Linked DNA regions of Lonchura striata. The protein of the gene in region 2 interacts with the protein of the main gene of each other region in a biochemical or structural test. Links are inferred from orthologs where the notes say so. Each region holds a gene or a part of one and is shown on either strand. Other genes may lie near its edges.

Evidence for each region.
Region 1: of the proteins of OXSR1 (region 2) and WNK1, one has a biochemical effect on the other in vitro, tested with the Homo sapiens proteins (2 studies listed by BioGRID and IntAct, with this or other methods). The link is inferred for Lonchura striata from reciprocal best matches to the Homo sapiens genes OXSR1 and WNK1.
Region 3: the proteins of OXSR1 (region 2) and WNK4 are reported together in a solved structure, tested with the Homo sapiens proteins (2 studies listed by BioGRID and IntAct, with this or other methods). The link is inferred for Lonchura striata from reciprocal best matches to the Homo sapiens genes OXSR1 and WNK4.

What each region holds. Positions count from the first base shown.
Region 1 is NC_134607.1:12,041,605-12,049,470, forward strand, and holds the start of WNK1 (serine/threonine-protein kinase WNK1), read left to right. Parts: upstream 1-4,825; 5' UTR 4,826-5,179; coding exon 5,180-5,926; intron 5,927-7,866. UniProt on the Homo sapiens protein: Serine/threonine-protein kinase component of the WNK1-SPAK/OSR1 kinase cascade, which acts as a key regulator of blood pressure and regulatory volume increase by promoting ion influx.
Region 2 is NC_134603.1:152,475,262-152,482,320, reverse strand, and holds the start of OXSR1 (serine/threonine-protein kinase OSR1), read left to right. Parts: upstream 1-3,975; 5' UTR 3,976-4,175; coding exon 4,176-4,245; intron 4,246-7,059. UniProt on the Homo sapiens protein: Effector serine/threonine-protein kinase component of the WNK-SPAK/OSR1 kinase cascade, which is involved in various processes, such as ion transport, response to hypertonic stress and blood pressure.
Region 3 is NC_134627.1:6,218,609-6,225,520, reverse strand, and holds the start of WNK4 (serine/threonine-protein kinase WNK4), read left to right. Parts: upstream 1-3,815; 5' UTR 3,816-3,830; coding exon 3,831-4,283; intron 4,284-6,912. UniProt on the Homo sapiens protein: Serine/threonine-protein kinase component of the WNK4-SPAK/OSR1 kinase cascade, which acts as a key regulator of ion transport in the distal nephron and blood pressure.

The DNA.
Region 1 (7,866 bases), on a different chromosome or scaffold from region 2:
AGAGGTGTGCTTTCTATTCTAGTAGCTAGAATGGGGGTGGATGGGTGGGTGAAAGGGAAATGTATGTTTCAAGCTGATGAAGAAGCACATGCTCTGCTCCAGTTTTATGGTGCAGGGTTGTTGACATTTTCTCAAGCAATAAATAAGAAAGGTCACATAATTAACTGGATTTAGTCCTTCTTATGCAGTCTGGCTAGCTGTTTCACCAGTCCTTCAGCTACAGCTCAGACTTTGCTCAGGTGTTTCAGCTGTGGTGCACACCTGTCTTCCTGCAGAACTTGGAGACTCTCTAAGCCAGGCTAGCATAAAGAGAGATGTTTGGTTTTAAGGCCTGTAAGACTTGTAGTTCTTCCTCTTTCCAATTCCCATGGTTTCTGCTAGTGGAGAGAGCACCCAGGTTCAGAGGTTTGGGCAAGACTCACCATCCAATGCCATCTGATGGACCACCTACTGCAGAGCCTGAGGACTTAAACTGCCTATAGGTCCTAGAGATGGTTACAATGTTTTTGTAACCAACCCAACCTCCAGAGCTACTTGCAAGTACAAAACCTCACCTAAAATAAAATAAATTAAACTGGCTTACTAGAGGATAAAACAGAGCAAAACAGAATATCTGGAAAGTCTCATTCCTCAAGCATGAGGACTTGAAATATTTTATTTCATTTACTTGCAGCTCTAAGAAACACAAGTGAACACTGTGGCAGAGGCCTAGATTTAACAAATGTCAAGGCAAAAGAAGAAACTTTTTTAGAAAAACTTGTACTGTCACTGTTGTAATATGGCATTGTAGCTGCAATTTGGTAATTGGCAATAAAACTGAGATGAGGAGTTTGCTTTGCAGAGCACTTAGGTTATGGAATAAAAACATATGCATCAAAATTATGGCATAGCCTCCTGTATTGCATAATGATTGCATAAGAGAAAATAGAGAATAGCTGCTTCCCATTAAGACTTTGTCACATGGGGAGGTCATGGATGCCAACAGTGGATGAAATTTCATGGAGAAAGCAAAACTGGAAAAAAAATTTTGATTCGGTCAACTTCAAAATCACACTTCATTCAAAGTAATTTTTTTAAACTATTATTGTTCCAACCAAGACAATTGTAACTATAAAAGGCTTGACATAAGGATATTTTTATAATGTCAAGTGTAAGCCCTTTGGATTCTATCAAAAGATTGTTTAAATCTCTTTGCCTGTAATTTCTCAAGTGTAGTCAGTCTCCTTCTTTCTGTGGATTTTTCTTACAGCAAAAGGCAAAATAAATATTTTTAATTGGTTGTGGAGCTCTGGCACAGGAACTATTTTTTATATTAATTGTTTCTAAACGTAGAATACATATAGAATTTACTTTGAGCTTATTAAATCTTGCTGCGATACCGAAATTTTCCATTTAGCCTAACAGAGTTTTACAGATTAAAAGAAATAAAACTGAAGGGAAAGGAAGCCTACACTCTTTATTACAGTAATCTTTTTTTAGAATGACAAAATTAAATCAACACCCACATAAAATATAATTGCCAATATCATACCATTTCTTTTTTCAGAGTCAAAGAAGACAAAAATCCATCATTCCCACCTCCAGGTCAGCTGCTCAGCTCTTTTTTCCTGCCAAGATGATTGCTCTGCCTACCTCTGCCCAGAAGAGGAGCCAGTGTGAGGAGCTGGGTGTTAGGGACCTTGCACTGAAGACCAACCTCCCAGAATTTCAAGAGTGCTAAGGAATGTGCTGGATCAGACACTGGGGATGTGCCTTTTTACATAATTACCACAATTTTTTAGTCAAAGACCGCCTGGGGCCCCGTCTGGCTATGCTGCAGTCTCTTTTGCAAAGCTTTTGCTAACTTAACTGAGGGAAAATATATTTAAGAAGAGTGGGTGAGAGGCACTTGAGTGAGAAGGGGCAGCACGCGAGGTCTCCTGTGAGCCACATGTGCAGGTCGGTGGTTCCCAGCTGCAGCCCATCTACCTGGAGTGGGAGATCACAGGGATGTGGCTGGGCACAGACCTGGGACTGCCCGACAAACCTACTGGTGATGATGATGATGCAAGTGGAATTCACCAAGCAGCTCCATGGCCTTACACCACACTTTGATTGATCACTGCATTACCGTGGGTACATGCCGAAGGAGTTACATCAGGCATCGAATGGAGCAAGGTTTGCTATCCACTCCTGCTGGTCCTATCCAAAGGGGTGATAAAAATGCAGTGGGCAGTGGAGGAAGGCAGATCTCTGAAGGCAGCCACAGCAGAGCTGCTGGGACTGCACAGGCCAGGGGAGGGAATGGGCCTGCATTGTCAGCTCCTGCTGGAGCCCTGCTACTGTGTCCTACTGCACTTAACAGTATAAAGCCAGCATGGATACACCTGCTGCTGCTATGCACAAATTGTCTTTCTGCTGCCCAGAGACATCCACAAACACCCGCAGTCACGCCGAACCCTGATGGCGATCAGAGGAGCTGCTGGTCCTGGCAGTGCAGCAGGGATGAGGCAGATTGAATTATGAGTTAATCAGTTTTGATCCAGCCACTCTGCTGCTAATCAAATTACCCTGTTCAGCTCAGCATTGGTTTGGAGCATGTCTACTCTTGGTGCCAATGCAGTTCAAGTGGCACCCTGACAAATCCACGTTTCCAGTGAAGGCAAGCCCTAGAAGGCTTAAGCCATGCAAAAATCTTGACTGTAGAGCTGTACAACAAAACACTTCTTGTCCTCTTTATGAAGACTGTACCATTATTTTGTTTGATGTTACAAAGGCTAAAAAGGATGTACATTAAGGATGCACAGAAGGATGTATGGAAAACGGCAGTATGCTGATTACTGCGTCAAATTTTTTTTGTGAGGAACACAAGCACGTGAGAATTGCCCAGACTGATGATTTGTGGCTGGGAGCTGTGGAACTCTGTCTGAAAGGGACACTTGTGCTACTTTTTGCAGAAGGAGTTAAGGCCTCACATCAGCAACACACAACTTCCTCTAAACTGCTGGTTTAAAAGTAACATTAGAAAAACTATTTAAAACAACAGTGTGTTTGCTGAGAACATATTACTTACTCAGGGAATTTTCTTAGTTTTCTTTTTCTTCCTCAGTGTAATTTTTGCTTTGTAGCTGCCTGAAAGTCATGGCACAAAATCATTTACTCCTTCTTCAATACATTCCAGTTGACTTCAAAAGATTGCTGGCGTAAGAAGGAAAGTGCTTGGTTTTCGTTTATTCTACAAAAGAGGAACATGATATAAATAATTTAGATGACTCGTCTTTGCCAATGCCTTGTTAACCTGAAAGTTCCCAATTCATGTCAGGGTTCATGTGGGCTCTGGCTGCTGTACAGCCCAGGTTTTGTACAGCCTGGGTTCAGCTGCAGCAGCCACAAGCACGACTGAAGGGGCCACAAGATAACACTTGTGTTAAGGGCAGAGGGTGCAAATTCTTTTTCTTTTGAATAATGACATTTACAGAGCAGTTAATTGCATTTCAGGTTGCTTGGCCACTTAGTGCCTCTTCAGATGGCTTAAATGGAGCAAAACCCCAACTCTCTACTTGTTTGTATAGTACTCAGCTACATGGAGTTGCTGTTGCCCATGATTTTAAATAATTTTAGAGGCTGTTTGAAAACATGACCTCATTGCTGTCTTCAGCTTCACAGGGGGGAAGTGGAGCAGCAGGCACTGATCTCTTCCATCTGGTGACCTGTGACAGGAATGGCCTGAAGTTGGTGAAGTTTAGGTTGGATATTACAAAAAGGTTTTTCCCCCAGAGGGTGTGTGGGCACTGGAACAGCTCCCCAGGGCAGTGGCACAGCACCAGCCTGCAGAGCTCGAGGAGCATTTGGGCACCGCTCTCGGGCACACGGTGTGACTGGGGATGTGCTGTGCAGGGCAGGCAGCCGGACTCCGAGTCCCTTCCAACTCGGGATATTCTGTGAGATATATTTATCTACTTATAGACAATATCGAAATGAATACGTACATCCGAAACACTTAACGCGTGGGTGTAACACAAGACTCGAAGAAAGGAGCAGTGCAAGCAGACCTGGTGCCTTTTCACCTGCCGGGCGGGGGGAGGAAGGGGCGGCCGCGCAGGACGAGCTTCCCCACAGCACATCGGCCCCCAGGCCCTCGGCGCACGCCGGGATCCTCCTTCGTCGCTCCCTCCCCTCTCCTGTTCCTCGCTCCCTTCCTTCCTCCATCCCGGGGGAATCCACGGGCGGCTCCCCTGCCGCGGCTCGGCCGCTGGAAACTACCGCTCCCATGGTACCCCGCGCGCGGCGGGAGCGGCCACCTCCCCTCGGCGGGGGGGGTGGAGGGGACGATGCGCGCTCGGGCAGGGCGTGGCCGGCGGTGCGGCCCCTCCTCCCCCCCCCGGACCGTGTGTCGGTTCGAGCTCCCGCCGTCGCCATTTAGCGCCGAGGCGTCGCCGGGCGGCCGCGCTCGGTCCTGCCCGCCGGGCGCCACCCGGACTCGGCTCGGCGGCGGCCCCGGGGAGCGCCAGCTGCGGGCAGCGGGAGCAGTAGCAGGAGGAGAAGAAGAGGGAGGAGGAGGAGGGTTTCCGGCTCCGCGCGAGGCGGCCGCGGCTGTTGGAGAGAGCGCGGCCCGGCCGCGCGGGCGGTGGCTGCGCCTGCCGGGCGGTGGAGAGGCCGCGGCCGCCATGGGCGCCCGGGTGAGGCGGGGCTGAGCCCCCCGGACCCCTTTCCTTGCCCTGGGCCTGCCCGGGCCTCTGCCGCTCGGAAACGAGTGACTGAGCGCGGCGGCTTTGCTGGCGTGCGGGCCTGCGCCCCGCTTCCTCCTCGCGTCCCGGCCCCTTTCTCCCCCCGCTCTCTCTCCATCGCCGGGGGTAACTGCAACCGGCGAGCTACCGGCGCTTCCCCGCTCGGGGGCCTCCCCGGTGCTCGGGCTTTCCTTTCTCTCGCCGTCCGCCACTCCAACCCAGCGCCCCGTGTCTGCTCCCGGTGCTCCATGTCGGCCCAGCTGCCCTGCTCCCCGCTGCAGGATGGATGCACACGCTGACCGGGGACCCACCCCGCCGGCCCAGCCTCCCAGCTCCGCCGAGAGGAGCCCTTGGGACCCTCCTCTGTTGCAGCTGCAACGGCAGCCGCGGCCGGGCGCGCTCCCCGCTCAGTGACCGGCCCTTCTCTCGCCTGCCGCCGCCGCCTCGCCACAGCCGCGCTCCCCCGGGGCACCATGTCGGCGGACGCCGCCGGCAGCGGCCCCCCGAGCCCGCGCTTCCTGGTGCCGCCGCCGCCGCCGCCCAGGAACGGTTCCAGCTCGGACAGCTCTGTCGGGACCTCCGGCACCGGTGGAGCGGGCGGTGGACCGGGGAACGAAGGCCGCAGTGAGGAGTACCGGCGCCGCCGCCACACCATGGACAAGGACAGCCGAGGGGCGGCAGCCACTGAGCACCGCTTCTTCCGCCGGAGTGTGATCTGCGACTCCAACGCCACGGCCTTGGAGCTGCCCAGCTTGCAGCCCGCAGCGCCCTCGGTCCCTGTCTCGGGAGGCAGCGCGGCTCCCTCGGTGTTCCCTCCCTCGGGTGCCGGCCGGACCCCTTACGCTCCTGTCACTGTCTCCGAGGCCGACTCGCGGCCGCCGCCGCCCGCCCCGCTCCCCCTGGAAGGACAGGCTGCCGAGGAGCCCCCGGCCGCCAAGGATGCCGCCCCGCTGCTGCCCAAGGAGGAGGAGGAGGGGGATGAGGCAACTGCGCTACCCCCTACCAGTGTCGCTGGCAGCCTGTCTGCTGCCAGCCGGGAATTTGAGGAGCGGAGAACGCAGCAGGAAGACATTGAAGAGCTTGAGACCAAGGCAGTGGGCATCTCCCCGGATGGGCGCTTCCTGAAGTTTGACATCGAGATTGGAAGAGGCTCTTTCAAAACTGTCTATAAAGGACTGGATACTGAAACCACTGTGGAAGTTGCCTGGTGCGAGCTACAGGTAAAATAAATAAATAAAAAAAGTGAATTATCACACCACAGTCACTCTCCCAGGTGCTAGTCATTGTGCTTGAAGGGGATAAAACCCATCAGCTCGAGATCTTCTTGATTCAGAAAGAGCTGCAAACCTTACCTGAGGAAGTCCTTTGAAAAAAAGGTGCATCCTTTCCATAGAGGCAGTTTGCCTTTTAATTATTTTAAATACTCTCTGAAGAGTCTTTTAGCTTTATCATTGCAGAACATGCTACAGTTCTGTTTCGTATAGTGTCTTGCATTTTATGCCTTTGAAAGGAGGATTGTAAAATCACTTGTGTACAGCTTCAAGGAGGCTGAGGGAAGATGGGCAAGTGAATGTCGACTTGAGCTACCCTTAACGTTTCAGAATTTGTTTAGGTGTTTTTCTTAGGAAGAAATGTGAAAACATTAATTTCACAGTCATTTCATTGGTAGTGGCAGTGGATTCTTGTGGGATAGATGACTCTAGAACGTACACAAGTCATGCAGTGTATCACACGATTTAGTTTTGCAAAGTTTTATTCATTTCAACTTCCAGGGTTCATATTTGTTAACAGGGACAGGGAAAGAAATTATCCTTCCAAAGCTTTAGAAAGCACCCAAAAGTTTAGCCTTTCTAGATGGCTGGTGGATTAAATTGGACTAAGACACCGCTCTTTTATCAAGTTTCTAGACTGAGCAGAGCCAGAGTTCTGTAGGAGCCCAGTCTAAGGATGGCAAGAACACCCTTGGTTCCCTGCGAGTCACAGCTTGTGCAACAGACACAGGTTGCTGTGCAACAGCCTGGAAAAAAGTGGGAAGAGCTGGGAGTACCAGGAACAAATACCTGGTGTGCTGGTTTGTTTTCAAAGCCTCAGAGTTAAGTAAAAAGTGTTAGTGTTTGTTTTTTAGTATTGGGTTTTGGTGCAATTCATAGAAGGGCTCATGTAGTAGATCTTTATTATTGTTTAGGGCAGACAAGAGAGCATTGGGTGAAAGTCCCAAAACTCTTTGTGGAGTTTTTGAGCAGTCAGTGGCTCACAAATGATCAATTGCAGTAACTGCACCAGAACTTTCTCAAAAGCATTTGTTTATTTGTTTCAGTCAAGCTGAGGGAATTTATTAAAAGATTTCTTAATTTGAATTCATAGTTGCTTTTGGATGGTTGCTCAAGCATTCTACCAGTATCTTGGTTCATTATGCTATTGCCATTATTCTGTGCTTACTAACTGTGGAAGAAAGCTTCCAGTTTTCTTTGTGACCCTTCAGCATGCCCTGCTCCTCCACGCTAGCTACATACTTGCTGTGGTGGCCTGTTTCAGCATTGATTTTAAATTGAAAGTAAAATGATCAAGTGTTGGCTCTGCTGAAGCTTTACTTGTGCAGTTTGAATTGTGAGGAGATAAATAATCTGTCAAAATTACATTATTTTTATTTGAAATTTTAATCTTTTGAATTTTTGAGTTCTGTGACTATTCTCTGAAGATTGTTTTAATCTTCACACTTACTGATCAGAAACTAATGGCAGCTTGGCATCCGTTGCTTTTCACTAATGTTGCCTCTTGAGGTGTGTTAATCATCATCAGTACCATGTGGACAAACTATCTGAAGAAACACCACTTTTGAAGGAATTTATTAGCGAAGCTCATTTTTAAAGGGCGTGTTGCTGGGCTTTCAATTGGTTTCTGAATTTCATTAATTGACAAGTTGCAAAAAGCATGAATGAGAATATTTGCAAGGGGGAAATACTTGATGTGCTGCTCAGAGGGGAACTGCATTGCAGGAGTGCCGTGTGGGTTAAGTTAAGCCAGATTCCAGAGGCTGTTTTTCCTCTCAGGAGACAGTATGAAGTGAGAAGTTTAAACCAGCTTTTTAAAATTTACATTTTCTAATTGTTAAAAGTATTTGCTGAAGGAGCTAGACTCTACAGCTAGTAGAATATTTTAA
Region 2 (7,059 bases):
ACAGGGTAGCACACAAGATCACTTAGGAAAACCTGCTGGTGTGGTTTAGACTGGAATTTAGCTTGTGGTTTAAAAACAACTATTATTAAAAGCTTGCTCCAGTTGGAGGGCTTGAAATCACTGCTCCTTCCTCCGCTGCAGGGTCTTCATATCATTTCTCCAAAGCAAAGCTGCCAGGAGAAACCCCTGGAGATCAAGTGCAGTGCCTGCCTTTGTTTGTTGGAGAGGAAACTGCCTTGCACTTAGTTAAGTAATCAGCTGCAGTTTGATAGAGTAAGGTCCCTTCAATAAACCTGGAAGTGTTTCCATGAAGAGAGAACAGCAGGCAAATTCTGCAGGGAACAAGGTCAGGCATTCTGCTCGAGGACATGGGTTTGTCCAGCTCCGAAGGCAATAAAACAGGCATTGATGGGCTTCCCTCAGCCCAGGCCTGTACCAGGCAGCTCCACAGGCACATGAACTGCCATTGTTTGCACCAGCCCTGGGGGCCACTGCACTCACACACAGAGGTTTATGGTGCCTTAAAGAGCCTTAAACCATAAACACAGCAACAAATGCCACGGCCCAAACACCGCTGAACTGTGACAGCAAATGTCTCTGCATGGCCATGCTGAAAGAGCTACTTCGGCTTAAACTCTAACAAGAAGGAAATTATATATCTGAGAGGCTACATGGCTAGAAAGATTAAATCTGCAGGACAGATTTCAATACACAAACTGGAGTTTAAATTGGTTTTCTGCGACCCACGCATAAATGAAGTTAGTTTATGTTCACAGTTGTGATGATGACCATAGAATCATAAAATAGTTTGGGTTGGAAGGGACTTTTAAAGGCAATCCAGCCCAACCCCTCTGCAATGACACCTTCAACCAGGCCAGGTTGCTCAGAGCCCCATCCAACCTGACCTTTAATATTTGCAGGAATAGGGTGTCACCACCTCTCTGGGCAACCTGTGCCAGTGCCTCACCACCCTTATGGTAAAAAACTTCTTTCTGATATCTCATCCAAACTGACAGTCCTTCAGTTTAAAGTCATTGCCCCTTGTGCTAATGCAACAGGCCCTGCTAAAAAGTTTGTTCCATTTTTCTTACAGCAGGGGTGCTCCAGCATCTTTGTGGTCTCCTCTGGATTTATTCCAACAGCTCCATGTCCTTCCCGTGCTGGGACCCTGGAGCTGGATGCAGATCTGCAGGTGGGGTCTCACCAGACTGCAGCAGAGGGGCAGAATCACCTCCCTTGACCTGTTGAGAAAAACCGTCAAGAACTCCTTCCAGGTACTAAAGGTAGCAATGCCTGTGTGCTGAGCATCAAAAACCAACCTGGGTATTAAACATCATTTTTGCAATATTACATGGATGGAAAAACCAAGCTAAGAGCTGGACAGTGCCAGTAAGTTTCACTGAAACAATAAGCAATTGGCCCAGAAAGGCAGGAAACCATGTGCCTTACGAGAAGGGGAGCATTTTGTGTGAGCATGCGTTGTGTGCCTGGTGTGCCAAGGCTTTGGCAGTGGAACACCAGCCCCAGGATATCAGTGAAATGCAGGAGCCAGGAGAAAGCCTCCATTCTGCTGCAGAATTGATGGAGGAGGAGGGCCCCGCCTGCCCTGATCCATGGTGTTTTACTGGAAGTCAAAAAATGCAGGAAACCCAGCTCTGGATTTTTTTTTTTCCAACAGGGAATTTTTTTTTTCTCAGGCTGCAGCCTTCCCATCTGAAAGACGTCTGAAGTTTTTCCACTTCTCAATCTCTGCTAAAGCCCGGTCCAGAGCAGAGGTGGATACACCAGGAAGCTGCTTTTCCACTTCATATTTCCACTAAAATTTCTTGTTATTACAAAAGAGCACTTGATTCAGCAGCACCACTTCACAGCTCTTTTATAAATAGATGCATTGCCTCTGCCCTGAGGAGCTCACAGCCTACACGAGACAGGCAAAATTCAGCAAATCAGGAAAAAGAGGATGAGCAGAAGTGATGAAAGAAGAGAAGTTGCTTGGAGGTCTGTAGCTGGCTAAGGAATGAAAGCTTTGTGGAATCCAGCTCCATGTTTTCATCCCTCAGCAGATTCAGGTTGGAACAACCCACCAAATGAATGAGTGCAACAGTAATCTCTGTCGTTTGAGAGACTCAAAATGCTGAGTTCATTAAAAGAAAAAAATAATGCCAAATTTATGAGACCTGGAGACTATTAGTGAATGAGAGATCTGGGTTTAAAAATATGGAAATGCATTTTTCATGGCAGAACTGGAAAATTAAAATGTAGTACTCCTCTCTCTATGCTCACGTGGCCACTAGTGGTCTTGCCAGTGAACATGTTAAATTTTAATTCTGATCAGAGCCTGTGGTTATTCTTAAAGAACAAGGCACATTGTGGACCTAATCCTACCCCAGTGGTCTAAAGCAGTAAGAGTTTTAGCATTGCCTTCAGGGAGAGGATTTTCAGCCCAGAATAAGAGAATCCAAAAGATGGTTCTGAATTTAAATGCATGTGGTAAAATTAAGTGTAAAAGCCTCTTTTTGTAGTTGGTGCCTGGCTCAGATCCATTTTTAACATGCTGTTAGCTATCAGAAATATGACACTGGCTACCCGGGTGCCTGCTCTGGGGTAAAACCTGTTTTTAATTGCTATATAAACTCCTTCTATAACATGGTTAAAAGATCACAGAGACAGTTCCGAGCAGTAATTAAGGCATATTTAGCAAATATTAAAAACGGCTCAGCAGGGGAATGTTTAACACAGACAAGCAGGAAAACAAACAGCTTTTCACTTGGAGCTTCTGCCTTATGACAGAGCTGTGGAGTGCCCATACAGCAGTGAGCGAGATGGGGCTGGGGGCTTTTGTAAAGACAAAAAAGAGTGAAGGAAGGAGCTGGTGTCCTCCATTAGAGCACGAGTGAAAGCACTGTGGTCAGACCCTGCCTTTGGCAGTGGCCCTCCACAAAGCCTGGTTCACCAGAGGCATCTCAGGAATTTGTCCTAATAAACTAAAAATACATGTAACTGATGTTCTTTGACCCACAGAAGGGCCTGACATCAAGCCACAAGAAGAACAGTGACCAGCAAAGGATGAAACCTGATACTCAGATTCCAAGTCAGTTCTCCTGATGGTTACAGTCCTGCATTGCAATAGTGAGATGCTCTTTTATTTCTTTTCATGTTGGGGAATGCAAATAATCCTCAAACTATGAACCATTTAAATGTATATATATTAGAGAGCGACATCAGCCTTCCTGAGTGCATGGTGCCACTCAGCCTTGTATTCCTCACTCTTAAATTTTAATTTCTTTTCCTCGATGACCAGATGTACTCCTGAGTGCATCCAGATAAAAAAGCTCCGGGTGTGGAGCCTTAAACCATAGGATGAGCGTGCAGGACATCTCCATCAGAGTGTCGGACATATCCACGAACGCTGGAACTGCGGTGTGGAGCAGAGAATTGCCCATCCTCGGGGGCTGCGAGCATACCAGGCCTCCAGATCCCCCACACCCACACGCTATTTTTAAACACGGAATGTGCATCCCTGCAGCGCCCGGGCCGGGCCCCGCTCTGGATCCCCTCACGGCAGGAGCGGGGCCCGGCCCCTCGGGCACAGGGACCCGGGAAACGCCAGCACATGATTGACAGCCGCTCGACCAATAGGAGCAGCGGATCCGCAGCGGGCAGCCAATCGCTGCCCTCACTCCTCTTAAACAGACACCCGCTCCCGCCCTGTGCCTGAGGGCGGGGACGGTGCTCCCAGCCGCCATCTTGTGTGTGGCATCTCCCGCCCTTTCCTTAGGGGCTCCTCCTCTATCCTTCGCTTTGCGGTCCTCCTTTACCGGCCCGTCCCCTGAGGCCGGTGGTGATAACCGAGAAAACCGTGGCGTAGTCGCCTTCTGGCGGCGGGCGGGGTGTCGCCGCGCCACGCTCAAGATGGCGGCGGGCGGCGCCCCGCCGCGGCGGGCGGGGCGCGCGCGGGTGACGTTCGCGCTCCGGGCATGGGCAGGTGCAGGAGGTGGCGGCGGCCGGAGTTGGGCCGGCGGTAGCGGCGGGAGAGGAGGAGGCGGAGGAGGAGGGGGCTCGGACTCGGCCGCGGTTCGGGGACAGCCGGGACACCGCAGCGCCTCCTCTCCGCTCCCTCAGCCCTCGGGGACGCTCCCCCTCGCGGCGCGGAGGGCGGCGGGCGCGGCGCGGCCATGGCCGAGGAGCCCAGCGCGCTGCCCTGGTCCATCAACAAGGATGACTACGAGCTGCAGGAGGTCATCGGTGAGCGGTCACTGGGGTTTGGGGCGGTGCAGGGTGCCCCGCGGATGTGGGAGTGTGGGTTCGCTGAGGGAAGCGGGGGTCCGATCCCCTCGGCTGAGGGGTATCCTGTCACACACCGCGCAAAGGAGTGGGACTGTGCGGCTTCCCCCTCCCTCAGCCATGTGAGGGTGTGAAGGGTCCGTTCCTCCACGCTGTGTGAAGGTCTGTGGGACCCCTCAACTGAGGGGGATGTCTGTCTCCCCACTCTGAGGGGTATGAGGGTCTGGGGTGTCTCTCGGTTGGAGGGGTCCCGTCGCACACACCCGGTCACGGACTGGGGCTGTGTGACCACCCCCCTCCTCCAGCCACGTATGTAGGAAGGATGTGAGAGGTTCTGTCCCCCCGCCTTGCGGGGGACTCTGAGGGTCTGTGGGACCCCTCTGCTGAGGCTGCTGCCCCTCCTCATCTGTGTGTGTGGCCCACGGGAGGGGATGTGGGGCTGCCCCATCCCAGGAGAGGATTGTGGTGGTCGCGGGGATGCCCCCCTGGCAGGGGCTCCTCCCTGGGCAGGGTTTGTGTCTCCTGGTGTCGGGGGGAGAGGGACGGGATCCGCTCTGGGGGGCTTCGCTTCCCATCACGGTGTGGTCTGGGATGTGCTGGGCTTGAGGTGCTCAGCGGGAGTTAATCCAGAGCTTGCGTGGACTCTCCTTCCAGGGCAGCCCGGTTCATTTTGGGGCGATCACATCTCTCAGCAGCTTCGGAGCCCCGCGCTGCTTTGGTCCCTGCGCGGAGGCTTTGGTAGAGCCGCCGAATGAACCTTTTACCCTGGGATTTTGCTGCTGCCGTGCGTTTTCATTCATTGTCCTCAGCTCGAGGCCCCAGTCCTTGCTCTCTCCATTAAATTATTATTTTTTTTTTTTCACTCTCTCTTGGCGTTAAACTGCCCAGTTACCAAAGGCCTCCCGCTGTACTGATTTATTGGCTGTCTCGACCATTTTGTCAGGGTGTGTTTGAGGGATATATTGCTCTAGGGTGAGTGTGTGACATTATCGGAGGTGGTGCCACAGGTGACTAAGGTCGGTGCCTCCCGTCTCACCCTCCGGAGACTTGGAATGAAGCAGGAGAGTGGCAGGGCAGGCTCCAGGCCAAAGGGTTTTAGGAAGGAGATTAATTCTTTGGGTAATCTTTGTGGAGTGCTTTTATTTGAAGTTTCTGGATGACGTAGCACTGTCATGCCCAGGCTTTCCACTGTGCCTCGTGGGGAGGCTTGTTTTCTGTTGAGGGTGGGAGAGTTTGTGAAAATGCTGTTTTAAGAGATTAAATTCTTACCATTGTTTAAAAGTAGGAAGGAACTAAAGCTGTGGAGAGGGGGAGATCCTTCTGGAAATCCCTTTTGCTCTGTGGGATCAGGCTTTGTCCTCTCCCTCTGCCTTGAGAGACCAGCAGCGCTGTAGGAAGAAGACCAGCTCCCTGTAAAGACAGGGAAGATGTAATCCTGCAGACCAACCTTTTAAAGCTCTGGAAAATGTGCCCCGGGGAGGAGGATGTTCAGCCTCCCCAAGGAGCAGGAGATACAGGTGTGAGGAGGAAGGGGGAGAAAATGCCACCAGTTTCCTGGGGAAAGAAAACTGAATTTTTCAGAGGAAATATTTCCTTTTCTTTTGAGAGCCTGCAAAGGGGTGTGTTTTGATGGCAAAAGCAAGGATTTGGACTTGAGTAATCAAGGATAGGAGTGAATGCCTCTTTGTAGCTGGGGAGCAGGGAGGGATGGAACAAAAGGGAATGTAAATACACTTCTGCTCTTGGGAGAACTTGCTGCTGGAGACACACATCCCACAGCCTCGGAGTACTGGGAGACACACAGAGATGTGTTGTCTCATGTTAACTGACAGGTCTTGGGAAGAAATCTGGAAAAAGTGTTTAATTACTTATCTTTTCCCTGTCCCTCTGCAGACTGAGTTTCTGGATGTCGCCTGCTCACTGAAAGGTTGTGTTGGCATTTTGGCACGTGATGGAGTGTACACTGAGATGTGTATATTGCAAACATATGGTTTCTCTTTTTAACTTTCCTGTCCCCTGCCCCCCCTTTACTCTTTTCAAACACTGGTGTGTCTGCCAGCGGCCTGGATGGAGATGTGACGCAAGTTTCCTAGCACGTATATGATTTGTGGGACAAAATGTCACTGTGTTAACTGAGCTGGACTGCCTTGCCTCCTGCTTCATGTCTCCTGTAAACCTCAAGGGTTTTTTGGTTGGGTTTTTTTTTTTTTTTTGAGCTCTCTTTATAACTGAAGAGCTGTAAAGGTTCTTCAGCACGGAACTAAGAGACGTTCTGGTGTGGAAAGAGATGAACCTTGTACCAGTGGTTTTAAAGGATTTAACTTGCTTCCTGATGAAATAAAAAAAACCAAACCAAAACATTAGTCTTAAAATTTACAGTAAATTTTGAGATTAGCAACTCAGCTGTTTTTTGGAATAATGGAAATCTGTTTGTAGTCCAGTTCTTTAATTTGTACTTGTACTTGAATTTGTTTTTGCTTGAAAATAGCCATGTCTGGCTTTTATTGGATGTGGATGGTTCCATACCACTCAAGTGCAGGAATAGAAAAAGCAAGTTTCCGATCTGCAAAGAGAACTTCTACTGTAAAAGTGCTCCCCTGATTCTGGCTAATACTATATATAAATAAAAAAGGATTATTCAGCACTGGGGATGACTCATGCCATTATAAAGGTGTGGATTAAAATCCATGTTGATTATGCTTGGTTAATATTAATAACTGCTGAGTAGCCTCCTTAGGCTTAAATAACTTTTGGTACACTGAATCAAGGAACTTC
Region 3 (6,912 bases), on a different chromosome or scaffold from region 2:
GGGGGAATTCCTGAGTGCCAGCACTTCTGTGCTGAACAAAGGCACCAGCAATGCTCCTGAGTCACTGACATGATGGGCTGGTGGGGTCTCCTTTCTGAGGACCATCACCCCTGGGAGCTCTGTCATGGTCCTGCCACTGAGGGTTCTGAGCAAACCCAGCAGCAGAGGCTGTGCCATGAGCCCTGCAGTGCATCTGTCCCCACAAAACTGGCACAGCCTCTGCTTGATCAGGGATCATCCTCTCTGTCTGCAGCCACCAAAGTCTCTGTGTAGGATTCATGTGCTCCCAGTGTCTGCCCTGGGTTTGTTTCCATGTCCAAGATCTGCCTCTGCTTTCCTCCCCATGCCACCTGCATTGCCCCTTCCCTCCCTGGCTGCTCCTGTAGCCCTGCAGGGAGCCAGGGTGCTGTGCCTGAAGGTGTCTGCCTTTGATCCCAAACAATGATCCTTCAGCAGCCGGGCTGGAGTGTCTGTTCTCACTGCCTGTGTGCACGATGCTGACCTCCCAGCACTGTGTTCCAGGCTGGGAGTGCTGTATGTAACCTGGCTGTCCTTGAGGGAGTCTGTGTTCTTAATTAAATTTGCTCCCTTCTTAGGAAATGGCTGATGTGACATTAGATAAGCCTAAAACCAGCTTTTCATTCCAAGGCACTCCTGGCAGCAATTCCCGTCTCTTTTTCAGCTTCCTATTTAGTTGCTTACTTAGTTGGGGGGGGGGAGAAGGAGGAGGAAGAGTACGTCCCCTTTCCAGAGTGGACATTGTATAAAATTCCTTTTCCACACCCTCTGCTCTGGTTACCAGAGGCCACATCCAGCCATGCCTGTGAGGACCTGTGGGATCAGCTTCCCTGGGCTGGGCAGGGCTGCTGCAGAGAGGTGTCCCTGCTGAGGCCAGGGTGTCCCTGCTGAGGCCAGGGTGTCCCTGCTGAGGCCGTGGGATGGGTCCTGAGAGTGGCAGAGCTGCTGCCAGCCTGGAGGGAGCAGATGTCCCTCTGTGAAGTGCTGTCCAGCCCAGCCACACAGCCCTGGGGAGGGGCTCGCTGGAGGAGGTGGCTCAGGGTGGTTTTGGGGGGGTGGGGGTGGCTAGTACAACCCCCCCCTCCAGCCTGTGGCCCCTCAGAGGCCCTTGCCACATCTGGCCACGGTGATTAGGGCTCGCTGGCCAGGGTGAGGCAGAGCTCAGAGGGGCTGGTGCCAAGATAAGGCACTATCAGGCTGGGCACACTCAGATCCCACTGGTCAAGGAGGAAAGATTCTGAGAAAGATTTTCTTTAATGCAGCTGCTTAGGAGCAGGAACTGTTTCAGTTTGATAACTTTATATGTTGGGAAAAACGTGCAGGCAGGTCCCATCTGTGCCTCTGGGCTGAGGAAATCCTCTGCAGTGATCTGCCCAGGGTTACAGCCACAGCTGAGGTTTCAGTGCCATCGCTGCCTCCCTGAACTCACATGAGTTAGAGTGAGAGAGAGAAGGTCCCGTGGGTATGGGGTGGTGAAGGTAACAGTGAAATAAGCCCTGGGTGTCCCTGGAGCATCCCAGGACAGGCACCCTGTGCTCTGCAGCCCCAGCTGTGCATCCCCTTTGTCCAGACCCATCCTGGCCCCTCTGTGATCCTGCCCCAAGCTCTGGGGTCAGAATGGACAATTCCTGGCAGGGCTTGGCGGAGCCTGGAGCTGAGCAGGGCTTTGATTCATGATCTAATTCTGAGGAGGGTGATTACACAGTGCCTTGTACTCCTGGCAGCCAAATGTAGGCGAGAAATGGGTTATGTTCCCTGATTGTGGCGGTTCCTCAAAGTGAAGCCTGGCACTGGCACCTGCAGCCCAGAAATGTCACCCTGATAATGCTGGGGAGCTGCAGTGGGCGCCTGATTGTGGAACAGGAGCCTTCTGGTTTCAGGCCAAGCTGGCTGCAGATTGGTGTTCCTGGCCAGGTCAGGAGAGGATCTGTTCCCCTGCCCGAGCTGCCACCTCTCTACCAACTTCTGGTGTGGAGTGGCATTTGGAGAGATCATTTAGGGAATTTCTCAGACCACTCACAAGGGAGGTGTGGGAGGGGAGCACTTGGAGCAAACTTCTCCCCTAATTTCCTCCCCTGTCTGCAGGGGCCTCACTGGACCGGGATACTCCCCTGCTCCTCTGGGATCTTCCAAGGCATTTTGTTTCACGATGGAAACCCTTGATAAGGAGATATGAGCCTGCCGGGGACAAACTGAGGTCCCTGCCTGGCTCTGTGTCTCCTGTTGGAGAAGCAGGGCTCCCTGCCAGCCTGAGCAGTGCATGGGCCCTGGCAGGGACCTCTGTGTGGGGGCAGCCAGAGTCAACCAAGAGGGCCTCGAGCAGCTTGCCCCACTGTCTGGCCATGCTCAGAAGGTTCTGGGTAAGGCTCACCTGAACAAAGAGCATTGTTTAACAGAGCTGAGCCAAGCCATGTTGCATCTTACAACCCAAGAGTCACCCATGGCAGGGCCAGTGCAAGCACTGCACCTGTGGCCTCTCAGTCTTGGCTTTTTGGCTCCAGTGGCCACGGGCTCCCGGTGCCCCAGCAGCAGGCACAGCCCTGCAGGGGCTGGACACGGTGTTCTGCCAGCGCTGCTTCTTCACCTGGGACCAAGCCCCTGACATGCTCCAAGGAGTGCAGGGCTGAGTCGGGATGTGGTTGCTGCTCCCTGCTCTCCGGCCAGTTCTGCTCCAGCAGCTCTTGGCAGGGTGGCATCGATCAAACTCCTTGTTGGGAAGGAGGTACCTGTCTCCTGGGGCAGGAGGAGGTGGGTCGGGTGGGGTTAGCAGAGCAGAGATCAGCGAGACGCAGGTCGGCCAGGAACATTTCATTAAATACTTGTCCCTCCCTCTTGTCCCCGCCCCAGCGGGGATTTGTGGGGAGCAGCCGTGCGGGACGTGGCCACAGCCGAGCTGCTGACCGCAGTCACCCGGCATCACCCTGCGGGTGCCAGCTTGGCGTTTGGGAGACCACGACTGCGTTCCCTTTTCGATCCACTCCTTAATGTTTCCGGTATCGTTGAGTAGAAACAATCTGGCCTCAGGGAAAAGAAATCTGCGGTGGCCTCAATTGCTTTGTGTTTTATGTAAACAGCCTCACCGGCAGAACAACCTTCTCCTTCAGCCTGGAGAGACAACACGCTCTTGTCCGGCTGTTGGCTCCCGCGGGGCTGACACACACCTTCGACTCTTCCTATTTGCGTGACCCTAATTTCAGGATTTCGGACCGCAGTGAACCCGAGCGGGATTGTCTGGGGGGGAACCGGCGTCCCGGCAGCGGCTCTCCGCTGCTCCAGCACACGCTGCTCCGGGTCCAGGCTCAGAAACTCCGAGGAAATGTCTGAACCGGGGACATTCCTGCGTTAGTCACAGCAGCCCCGGAGCCCCGCGGGGGCGGCGGCAGGGACGGGGCTGTCCTGCGGGGAGGGGACTGCGAGGAGCCCCGGGGACAGCGCGGACCCGGTGGGCGCCAGGCGGTGACCCCCGGCTGGGAGGGGACATCCCGGGTGCTCGGGAGCGGTGCCGGGGCGCGGGGCCCCGCTCGCAGCCCGTGTCCGCAGCTGCAGCTGGGCGCCGTCCCGGGGCCGTGCCCGGTGCGGTGCCGGTGCGGTGCCCCTGCCCGGCGCGGGGCCGGTGGCGCAGCGCGGGCGGGGGGCGGCGGTCGCTCGGGGGCGGACCCGGGCGGGGCGGGGGCGGTGCCGCCGGGCGGGGCGGCGGCGGTGCCGGGGCCGGTGCCCGGAGCGGGTCTCGGCGGTCGCTGCTGGCTGCGGGGTGTCGGAGGCCACGGGTGCGAAGCTGCGCGGGAGCGGCCGCTCCCACCGGGCCGGAGCCGATGCTGGCGGCCGAGCCCGCCGCTGCCGGAGCCATGTCCCATCCCGAGGCGGAGCGGGCGGACAGCGGCTCCGCGCCGCAGCCGGAGCCGGAGCCGGCTCCGGGGCTCACCGGACGGGCCCCGCACCGTAACCGCAGCCGGCGGTCCTCGGGGCGCGATTCCCGACGTGCTTCCTCCCGCTTCAACCGGCGGAGCTCGGCCGAGCTGGAGCTGCTGGGGTACCCGGCGCCGGACGGGGAGCGCGGGGGGTCGCCGCCGCCGCCGCCGGCCGCTGCCGGGCTCCGGGAACCCGAGGAGACGGAGAGCGAGGAGGTGGAGACGCGGGCGGTCGCCACCTCCCCCGACGGCCGGTTCCTCAAGTTCGACATCGAGATCGGCCGCGGCTCCTTCAAGACCGTCTACAAGGGGCTGGACACGGAGACCACCGTGGAGGTGGCCTGGTGCGAGCTGCAGGTACGGCCCCTGCCAGCGCCTCCGCCCCTGTCTGCCCGCACCCACAGACCCCCGCCCCGGGGCAAGGGGCTGGAGAGAGGCACCTGGACCCTCTTCTGTCCAGTTTCCATGTGCAGCCCTCCCCGGCCCTGACCCTGCTGCTGTGTGGGACCCGCGGGGCGCTTCCCGGGCTGGAGCCTGTACCGGCGAGGGCGGGCACCCTCGAGCCTCTGCTTCTGCCCTGCGCTGTGCCCATCACTGCCCGTGCCTCGGTGCTTCGTGGGTCTGCTGGCCCGCACGCAGACTCCTGCCTGCTTAGTGCCGCCGCTCCTGGCCCTCCTGCCCATCACGTGCTGTTTTCCATTTGCTTTCTTGCTGCCTGCACTATGGAGCATGTGCCCACGTTCTTGATGCCAGTCCCTGCTCTGGCACTTAACAGGTGGATCTGGGGCTGAGCATCCATCCCACTGTCTTTCCGATGCTCAGCAGCTCGCAGCTTTCCCTCCAGGAGGACAGCGAGGGCAGCAGTGCCCTCTCTGCATGCCTGCCTGTGCTTGTGCTGGAGCTGCCTCCAAGGTTTGCTCCGATAGCCCTTGGTGTGCCCTGGGGCAGCGAGCTGGGGCTGGCTGTCAGCTGGGAACAGGGTACAACACGACCTTGGTGCTTTCTGCCTGCTTGACCTTGGCTGAAGTCGTGTACATGGCCACCTGTGAGTGGTTTCTGTGATGTTGCCAGGGGATGGCAGGATACTGGAAGAGCTGGACCTGTGGTTCCAGGTCTCTGAGGAGCATCCCTGTTCTCCTCTCTGCTGCCACACTCCTCCATCTCCTTGGCTGTCCTGCAGCCTGACAGCAGCATGCTGAGAGCAGTGGTGATAGTGTTGCCTCCACAATGCCTTTGCTCACTCAAGTGCTTTTGATGGGCCTGATCTTGTCCATGGAGGTGCACAGGGAGATCTGTGCTGTGGGGCTGCCTTTTCTCCTTGGAGCACCCGGGGAGGGGTTTTGGTGAAGTCCAAAGTCTCCCTCAGGCTCCTGAGCCTGGGATGGCTGCTGTGGTGGGAAGGTCCAAGTCCTTGTTGACACAGAAAAACGTGTCTTTCGAGTTTGTTGTCTTGTTCCTAAAAGCTCAGTGCAATTGCAGGTGGCTGCCAGGGCTGGGTCCTTGGAGTGGCTGCAGCCCAGCAGAGCAAGAAGAGATCCTGAGAGACTGGTGGGTGGTTTTTAGAGGGCTGACTATGGCCTCGTAGTGAGGAAGGTGAAGATTTGCCCCTCACCCCCATGGATTCCACAATTGCTCCTGTTGTTGAGAGTTCAGTTCAGAGCCAGCTCAGTTCTCACAAAGCCTCACAGCTCTGTCCAAAGGCCCCTGAGCTCTCTTGAGTCCTACATCCCTTCAGGTGGCAACCACTGACTGGAACAGGCTCTCCTTGGTGAACTCAGGACCTTCCTCCCTGGATGAGTCAGTTGTGCCCAGCACTTCCCATCAGCTGGCTCCGTGTCCCTCCCTGTGGGTCTCAGCCCCATGGCCCAGCCGTGGCCCAGCTCCCCTGCCCTGGGGCTGGCACACAGCTGGCAGGGCTGGCAGCAGGTCTTGTTCCTGCTCCTCCCTGCAGGCAGTGCTGCTGTCTTGGAGGGGCTGCCAAGGGGATGAGCCTGCACCACTCAGGTGGAAGGGAAAAGGGAGCTGGGAAGCAAAATGCTTCCGTGTTCCAGTCCAGTGCTCCAGTCCAGCAGGCACAGGCTGGGCCCGTTGCTGGTCCTGCGAGCCAGCCAGGCAGGAGTGGCAGAACCACTCACTTGTCCCCTGGGGGTGGCTGTGGAGAGGCTGGGGTGCAGGCTGAGCTCCTGCCAGGGACCCTCCTGTGAGCATCCCATAGTGCTGGGTGCAGACCTGACCCCTCTGGTCCTGCACCCTCCCACGGGAGTGCAGTCACATCCCTGCTCCCACCCGTGCCTGCCCCTGCCCTCCCCACCCAGTGTTTGGCTGAATTCCACTGACTGCTCTTTATCCACTGTCTCTTGTACCCAAATCTGTGTCCCACAAGGGGCTAAGAGCACAGATGCAGACATTTAGAAGTTTGTTTTTTTTCTGCAATCGTGCAAAAATTGGACACTGTGACACAAATACGGGATTTGGAACCACAAATAAAAATGGTTGTGGTTCTGCTATTTTAAAAATAGCTTTGTCGTGTGCACTTCACAGTTCTCCTTCTATTACCTTTCAATTCCAAATGAGTACTTAACCTCAGGCCTGACCTGTTCTGCACCAGAGAACCTGGTTCAGTGCTGTGATGGATCCCAGTCCCCAACCCCAGCTCTCCCTGCTGTCCTTGCCCTGACCTTCCCTCCTCAGAGCTCGGGAGGCAGAGGTTGGTTTTGCCTGTCTTGTGAGACCCCTCGGGGGACCTGCCCATCCCTGTCCCCTGTCCTGAAGGCAGCGTCTGTCTGTCCCTCCCGCCCGTGTGCACAGCCCCACTGTTTGTGCTTTCCAGCTTTAGCCTGGCACTATTTCTGTCCTAGGTGCTGCGGGCGGTGGGGAAAGAGGAAGCAGGGAGGAAACCAGAGGCCCAGAGTGGGGTCGAGCTGTAAATACCTGACTGTGTGATTTTCTTGTGGAACCCCTTGGGGTTCCCCAAGTGGGCAAGAGC